Sus scrofa: one gene and its partner. The protein of the gene in region 2 purifies or fractionates together with the protein of the main gene of each other region. This does not show direct contact. Links are inferred from orthologs where the notes say so. Each region holds a gene or a part of one and is shown on either strand. Other genes may lie near its edges.

What was found.
Region 1: the proteins of RCC1L (region 2) and TRUB2 purify together in Homo sapiens (affinity purification with mass spectrometry; 3 studies listed by BioGRID and IntAct, with this or other methods). This does not show direct contact. The link is inferred for Sus scrofa from reciprocal best matches to the Homo sapiens genes RCC1L and TRUB2.

The regions. Positions count from the first base shown.
Region 1 is NC_010443.5:268,755,154-268,758,899, reverse strand, and holds the start of TRUB2 (probable tRNA pseudouridine synthase 2), read left to right. Parts: upstream 1-1,128; 5' UTR 1,129-1,463; coding exon 1,464-1,592; intron 1,593-1,649; coding exon of another isoform or gene 1,650-1,781; intron 1,782-1,857; coding exon of another isoform or gene 1,858-1,927; exon of another isoform or gene 1,928-2,238; coding exon 2,239-2,494; intron 2,495-2,564; exon of another isoform or gene 2,565-2,671; coding exon of another isoform or gene 2,672-2,675; intron 2,676-2,868; coding exon 2,869-3,000; intron 3,001-3,746. Other genes in the region: ubiquinone biosynthesis protein COQ4 homolog, mitochondrial, read right to left, coding at 224-320, 1,650-1,781, 1,858-1,927. UniProt on the Homo sapiens protein: Minor enzyme contributing to the isomerization of uridine to pseudouridine (pseudouridylation) of specific mitochondrial mRNAs (mt-mRNAs) such as COXI and COXIII mt-mRNAs.
Region 2 is NC_010445.4:11,914,043-11,917,788, forward strand, and holds the start of RCC1L (RCC1-like G exchanging factor-like protein), read left to right. Parts: upstream 1-1,497; 5' UTR 1,498-1,557; coding exon 1,558-1,899; intron 1,900-3,746. UniProt on the Homo sapiens protein: Guanine nucleotide exchange factor (GEF) for mitochondrial dynamin-related GTPase OPA1. Activates OPA1, by exchanging bound GDP for free GTP, and drives OPA1 and MFN1-dependent mitochondrial fusion. Plays an essential role in mitochondrial ribosome biogenesis.

The sequences.
Region 1 (3,746 bases), on a different chromosome or scaffold from region 2:
CAAGAGCCCTGTTGCTGGAACTAGGCTGAGGCCATCGTATTGCATCACCCAAGGGTCAACACAGTGTCTATGTGAGTGGTGCCTATGGATTCGGGCAGTGCCCACGGCCACCACTCACGGCCAGGGTATCAAGAAGAGCTCCCCAGAGGAACACAATGCAAGTCCAGACAGACGGGAAGCGCCAAAGAATGCCCTCAATCCCCCAGGCAGAGCTGGGACCTACTGCAGGATCTGGGCACCCTCTGGATCCCTCTTCATCTGGTCCCTGAGGAACTTCAGGGTTCGGCGTCCTGTGGTCTCTCCTAGAACTGCAACCATGTCTGAAAGGAAAGAAATGGGGACACGTGGAGGATGTGATCTTCGGTGGATCGCCTGACCTGGTCTGAGCCTCAATTTCCTACATGAGCAAACAGAATATCTACCTCTAAGTTATAAAGATTCAAGTTAAACATGTAGTGAAGCGCTGGGCACACAGTAAAAGCTCAATATAGTTATGACTGTTATTCATCTGATGGGGGAGGTGGCTCTGGTGAGCACAGTGCTCTGACAAATTTATGAATCACTTTCACATCCATCATTACAACAGAATATCATGTCTCCACGGACAGGGGCCGACTTTGGTATCACAGAGTGCTAGGTTCGACCCCAGCTACAATCACTGTCTAGAGGACCTTGTGCAAACTGCTTCACATTTTTGACCCTCAGTGTCCTAACTTGGAAGTGCAGATAACATCTTTCTTATAGGGTCAATATGAAAAATCAAGAACATCACGTATATAAAACACTGAGCAATGAGCAACCAAAATAAGGGCTTAATGAGCAATTACCATTTTTTTTTTTTTTTTTTTTTTTTTTTTAGGGCCATACCCACAGCATATGGAGGGTCCCAGGCTAGGGGCTGAATTGGAGCCACAGCTGCTGGCCTACACCACAGCTCACAGCAATGCGGGATCCTTAACCCACTGAGCAAGGTCAGGGATCGAACCTGCGTCCTCATGGATCCTAGTCAGATTCGTTACCGCCGTTAACCGCTGAGACACAACGGGAACTCCCAGCATTATTGTTTTTACTAGCAGGAGTAACAGAATTTTCCAGACTTAGAAATCCTGGAGGGGATGAGAAAGGCAGTGTAGGATCCAAGAATGTTCTAGTCAAATGTCTAGCAAGCACTTACGGAGCATTTATTATGTCCCGTGCCCTATCCAAAATGCTACCACTCCAGTGGAGCAGGGTAGTTATGGTTCCCGACCTCATAAAGTTTAATTTCTAAAGGGACGTTATACTTTTACGGGCATAAATCATCTAGCCCAGAGATCCTCAGTGTGGCTGGATGACAGAATCTCCCGGGAAGCAGTTTAAAAAGGCAGAGGCTCAGATTCCACGCCCCTTCCTGCCTCCCTTCCCCACTCCCACAAGATTCGAATTGAGTAAGTTTTAGGGTGGGATCCAGGCATCCGCATTTTATGAATACTGCAAGTGACTGTGAGGTGCAGCTTGGTCTGGGTACCCTGGCCTTGTCTTGTTTCCAGTTACCCAAAGGAAACGGAGGTTTTGACAGTGGCAGGGACCTCCCCGGGACTTCCAAGGCAAGGGTGAGCCTCCCCCCTCCCCCGCCCTCCCAAGAGAACGCCAGGCGCGGGCAGCCTTACCGTGGCGATAAGGGTCGTAGAGGGCCATTACGGCAGAGCCCGCGGCCAACAGCGCCTTCTGCAGCAGGGAAGTGGGGATGTGTTCGGGGTAGAGGAGGCCGGTGCCATGGCTCGTGGCACGAAGGGGCACATCTGCGAGGCAAGAAAAAGGCCGCGCGGTCAAAAGAGCCGGGGGACGCCAGCACGCCGACCAGCCCCCGCCACTTGCCTGCAGCCGGCTGCCCGCGGCCTTGGAAGGCGCGGAGGGGGCGCAGGGCCCCGCGCAGCAGCGTCGCCATGGCAGCGGGTACAGTCGGACGTCCGCGGGAGGATGGGAAGGGCAAGGCCAATGCCCCAGACTTCCCCGACGACGGCGCGCCGGAGAAGTCAAAAGGGCTCGATTCCTACGGCGCGGAGTAGGGTTTTTTTTTGCGGGAGGGGGGAAAGAGCACGGACAGGAAAGGTCTCTATCTCTAAGTATGAAGAAACCCAGGCAATCTAATTCCAAGGATATAAAATTCTCCCCATTTCACCTTGCCCCCCAAAGTGTCTCTAAGGAAGCCCGCCTGGCTTTGGGGTTCAGTGTCGGACCGTACTTTGTTCACCGCAGCACGTTTTCCCCGAGGACAGAAAGACGAGAACCTCTTCCGGCTGCGAAACATGGCAGCGTCCTCTGGAAGGACTCTATTTGGGGAGGGACCATATGGCATTTCCGCCGGGTGCCGCTGTCCTGCGAGCCCCAGACGCGGGCTCCGGGATGGGGTCAGCCGGCCTGGCGCGGCTGCATGGGCTCTTTGCCGCCTACAAGCCCCCGGGGCTAAAATGGAAGCATCTACGGGATACGGTGGAGCTGCAGCTTTTGAAAGGTGAGTGCATCGAGCCAGTCTTAACGATCCCCTTCCCATTTCCCTCGGAGTCTATTTCCGCTTCTGATCCTTGCGGGTAAAGTCAGTCATGTGACCTCGTCGCCTGGGCGGCTGCCTTTTCCTGATCGTCTGTCGTATGCACTCTGTTTGTTGTTCCTCTCTTTCCCCGGTGTTCAGATGGGTAAACAGACTCTATTTTTAGTTGTCATAAGTAGTAGAGTCAATATTTGACTCCAATTCTTGTTCCTAATTGCTACTGATCTCTGCACCCGTGGACTTGGAACTGTCTTATGCATCCCCGTGTTTTCCTGTCCCGCCCACCCCTGGGTGTCCACACGGAATTGATGAGATGCTATTTACATGTGTGTGCTCAGGTCTCAATGCTGGGAAGCCTCCTGCTCCTGAACAGCGTGTTCGCTTCCTGCTGGGTCCGGTGGAAGGCAGTGAAGAGAAGGAGCTGACCCTCACAGCCACCACTGTGCCCTCCCTCATCAACCATCCTCTGGGTAAAGCACATTTAGGAAGGGGCCTGGGTGTCACTTCCCAGGAAATCCCTGCTCAGAATCAGTGTCCTAGCCAGTGCTCAGACTCTTACTGTCCCGAACCAGTGTAGGGTGGCAGTGGGGATGAAGTATTTGACCAGAGATTGGCAAAGTTTCCTAAAAAGGGCCAGATAGTCAATATTTTAGGCTTTGCAGGTTCACCTCTGCCATTGTAGTGCAGAAGTAGCTATAGATAGTATGTAAAGCAGCGAGCCTGAGTGTATTCCAAATAAAGCTTTACTTATGGACACAGACATTTTCTTTTTAATTAAATTTTTTTTTTTCCTGCTTTTTAGAGCCACACCTGCAGCATCTGGAAGCTCCCAGACTAGGGGGTGAATTGGAGCTTCAGCTGCCCGCCTATGCCATAGCCCCAGCAATGCCAGATCTGAGCTGTGTCTGTGACCTACATCACAGCTTACAGCAACTCCGGATCCCTTAATCCACTGAGCAGAGTCAGGGATTGAACCCACATCCACATGGATGCTAGTCAGTTTTGTCAGCATTGAGCCACAGGGGGACTCCCTTCTTGGTTTTTTGTTTGTTTGTTTGTTTGTTTTGAATCATTGAAAAATGTAAAAACCGGTTTAAATGGTAGGCCGTGAAAACCCCAGGACTGGGGATGTGACCTGTGGACTGTAGCTTGCTGGCCCCTTTGTTATCCTGGGACTCCAGGTAGGGATCGAGGCCCTCAGGTAGAACTCCTGTGC
Region 2 (3,746 bases):
TGCAAGAGCACCTACAGGCCACGAAATTCAAACATTGCTTCTATTTTTTCCTTTTCCTTTTTTTTTTTTTTTGTCTTTTTGCTATTTCTTGGGCCGCTCCTGCAGCATATGGAGGTTCCCAGGCTAGGGGTCGAATCGGAGCTGCAGCCACCGGCCTACGCCAGAGCCACAGCAACTCGGGATCCGAGCCGAGTCTGCAACCTACACCACAGCTCACGGCAACGCCGGATCGTTAACCCACTGAGCAAGGCCAGGGATTGAACCTGCAATCTCATGGTTCCTAGTCGGATTCGTTAACCACTGCGCCACGACGGAAACTCCTCCTTTTTCTTTTTTAAGCTGCACCTGCAGCATAGGGAAGTTCCCAGGCTAGAGGTCGAATTGGAGCTGTAGCCACTGGCCTACACCACAGCCACAGCAACACCAGATCCAAGACACGTCTGTGACCTACACCGCAGCTGACGACAATGCTGGATCCTTTAACCCCACTAATCGAGGCCAGGGACAGCATCCGCATCCTCATGGACACTAGTCGGGTTCTTAACCCACTGAGCCACAATGGGAACTCCACAGCTCATTTATTTTTAAACTTCATTTCTTTTTTTTTAACCTCCTCATTTTAGAGATGAGATCCAGAGAAGGGAGACAACCTCCTAACATCAGGGAGCAGGTCAGTAGCAGAGCCAGCACAGGAACCCAGGTGCTCAGACTCCCAAATCGCTCATGAGGGCGTCCTCCGTTGCATGCTAAACTCTAGTACTAAACCGGTGAGGACAATCTGCCGTTATGAAACCTTGAAGAAGGTGCTCCAGCTGGATCCTTGAAGGTGAGTAGGAATTTGCTAGGCATCTGCGGTGAGAGGAGGGCAGTGGGGAGGGCATTCGAGGCACTGTGTGCAACGTGAGGAAACCTGAAAAATCCCTGGGGTTTAGAAATTACAAGCAGAGCCCCCTGAGTTGGTCCGAAGGTTGTGGGTTATTGTTAAGCTGTTTAACAGGCAGAGCCACCTGACTTAAGGGGAGTGACGGGCTGAGGGGCAGAGGTGATGCTGTGGAAAACAGCAGGGATTGCAGCACTGACCCAGCGGCGGGAGAGCGGGAACAGAGGCAACACGGCCAGGTAAGAAATGACGAGGGACCGTGGGTAGGGGGCGAGCACTACGCTGGAGTCGTACAGAGTAGGCAACCCCTTAAATTTTACTCCTGCCGACTGCCAAAAAAGCAAAATGAAAGTGCCCACCAGAGCCAGCAGCGTGCTCCGCAAACGTGCGCTGTGCGGCAAGGAGAGTGAGTTCAGGCCGGCTGCGGGCTGCTGCAGCACCGCGAAAAGTTGCAAACTAAGTGGGCAGGGCCGGGAAGGGTTCCCCAGGTCGACTCACTCAGGATCGGGGACTAACAGGCTCCGCCCAGCCCTCTCGCCTCCTTGAGCCATTGGCTACCCTCAGCGTCTTTGCCTTCACCCATTCGTAAACGTGACCCTGGGTTCTTCCGCCGGGGCTTGGGGTCAAGGGTCACCAATATGGCAGCGCCCAGGAGCGGCTGAAACGTGAAGCGGAGGATGGCGCTGGTGGCGCTGGCGGCGAGGGCTCGGCTGGGGAACTGGCTGAGCGGGCGGGGGCTGGGGCTGGGGCTGCGGCTGGGGCGCGGGCACTGGACGGCGGCCGGGCGCTCTCGGAGTCGGCGCGAGGCGGCCGAGGCCGAGGCGGAGGCGCCGGTGTTCCAGTACGTGGGCGAGCGTGCGGCCCGCGCCGACCGCATCTTCGTGTGGGGCTTCAGCTTCTCGGGGGCGCTGGGCGTGCCCACCTTCGTGCTGCCCAGCTCTGGGCCCCATCCTCACGCCGGCTTGCGGCCGCGCCGCAGGATCCAGTGTGTACCTTACCGCCTGGAGCTGGACCAAAAGGTGCGCTCTGCAGCTCCCTCCCTTCCTCCGTTTCCTCCTCGGGTCTCCGCCGCCGTCTCTCGAGGCACTTGGCGACGGGTGGACGGACTTCGGGGAGAAAGATCCTCGACCGGGCTGCGGGCGGGGGGAGGCCCTAGGGCGCTGCCAAGTTGAGGGAGTGGCGAAATGTCCTAGGTGTTTTGTCTCTCATTTGCGCATCACCCCAGGAGTCGGGTTTGTGGCACAGTTATGGGCGAGGAAAGGGAGGCTCAGAGAGGTTGAGAGGAAGGTCCGTGGCCCCGCAGCTGGTTGAAGTTTGTATACTAGGATTCGCCCTCGGGCCAGGCTCCAGCAGAAGTTCTGATTTTAGGAAAGACGATTTTATGAGGTCGGAGAAAACGTGGCTGGCTGGAGTCGATGAACTACTTGGAAAGGAAACTAGAGCGCTTACAGGAATGAGGGGAAGGATGAAGGCCCCTGAGTTTACTCAGTTTTGAAAAGGTGATGCAAAGAATCGTTGCGGGACGGGAGTTTGTCTCGGCAGCCAGCACCCATTAGTGCAAAAATGGATGCTTAGGATAGATTCTTGCCTCGGGTGGTTGTGGACATCTTGATGGGTGGTGAAAAAGAAGCAAATTTGATCGGTTTGGCTTCTGACTTCTCTTTCAAGGATATCCAGTGATTTTTTAATGAAAAGGGTAGATCGAGAAAAACAGGGAATTTAAGCTCCAGATGATTGAAAAGTTGTTTTGATTTCTTCATTTTGAGTTGTAAGAGTTATTTATGTATTCTGGATTAGGTACCTTGTCATATATATATATATATATATTATATATATATATATATATAAGGTGGAAATATTTTCTGCCAATCTATGGATTTTCTTTTTCATTTCTTAATACTGCCCTTGGGAGAGCATAAGCTTTTAATTTTAATGAAATTCAGTTAAGTTTTTCTACTGTGAATCGTATATTTGGTATATCTGAGAAATCTTTGCCTAATCTAAGATTACAAAGATAATTTTCCTAAGGTATTGTCTAGGAACGTCATAGTTTTCGTTCTTATATTTAGGTTAACAAGCTAGTCATTCGAGTTGACTTTTGGGTGCTGTGGAAGTGAGAGTAGAATGTGGCTAGTATTATCATTAGTTGAAATTATTTCCTTACTGAATTGTCTTGGCACCTTTGTGAAAATCAGTATGACTGTAAATGTAAGGATTTATTCTGGAACTCTCAATTCTGATCCATTGATCTATATGTTTCTCATTATGCTAAAAGTACACTCTTGATTACTGTAGCTTTATAACTAGTTTTGAAATTGCGAAAGGTAAATTTTGGCTCTTCTGGGTGTTTTGCTTTTCCATATAAATTTTAGGACTAGCTTGTTAATTTCTGCGACAGTACCTACTGAGATTTTGATAGCGATTACATTGAATCTATACGTTGATTTGGACACAAATGCCATCTAAGCAATTTTGTGTCTTCTAATCTATGAACATGTAATGTCTCCCCATTTAATTAGGTTTTTAAGGAGTTCCTGTTGTGGCTTAGTGGTTAACAAATCTGACTAGGAACCATGAGGTTGCAGGTTCCATCCCTGGCCTTGCTCAGTGGGTTGAAAATCTGGCGTTGCTGTGAGCTGTGAGCTGTGGTATAGCTCGCAGATGTGGCTTGGATCCGTGGCTGTGGCTGTGGTGTAGGCCGGCGGCTACAGCTCCGACTAGACCCCTAGCCTGGGAACCTCTATATGCCGTGGGTTTGGCCCTAGAAAAGACAAAAAAAAAAAAAAGACAATTAGGTCTTTAATTTCTCTCAACTATGTTTTTTGTAGTTTACGGTGTACAGATCTTACACATCTGTTAAATTTAT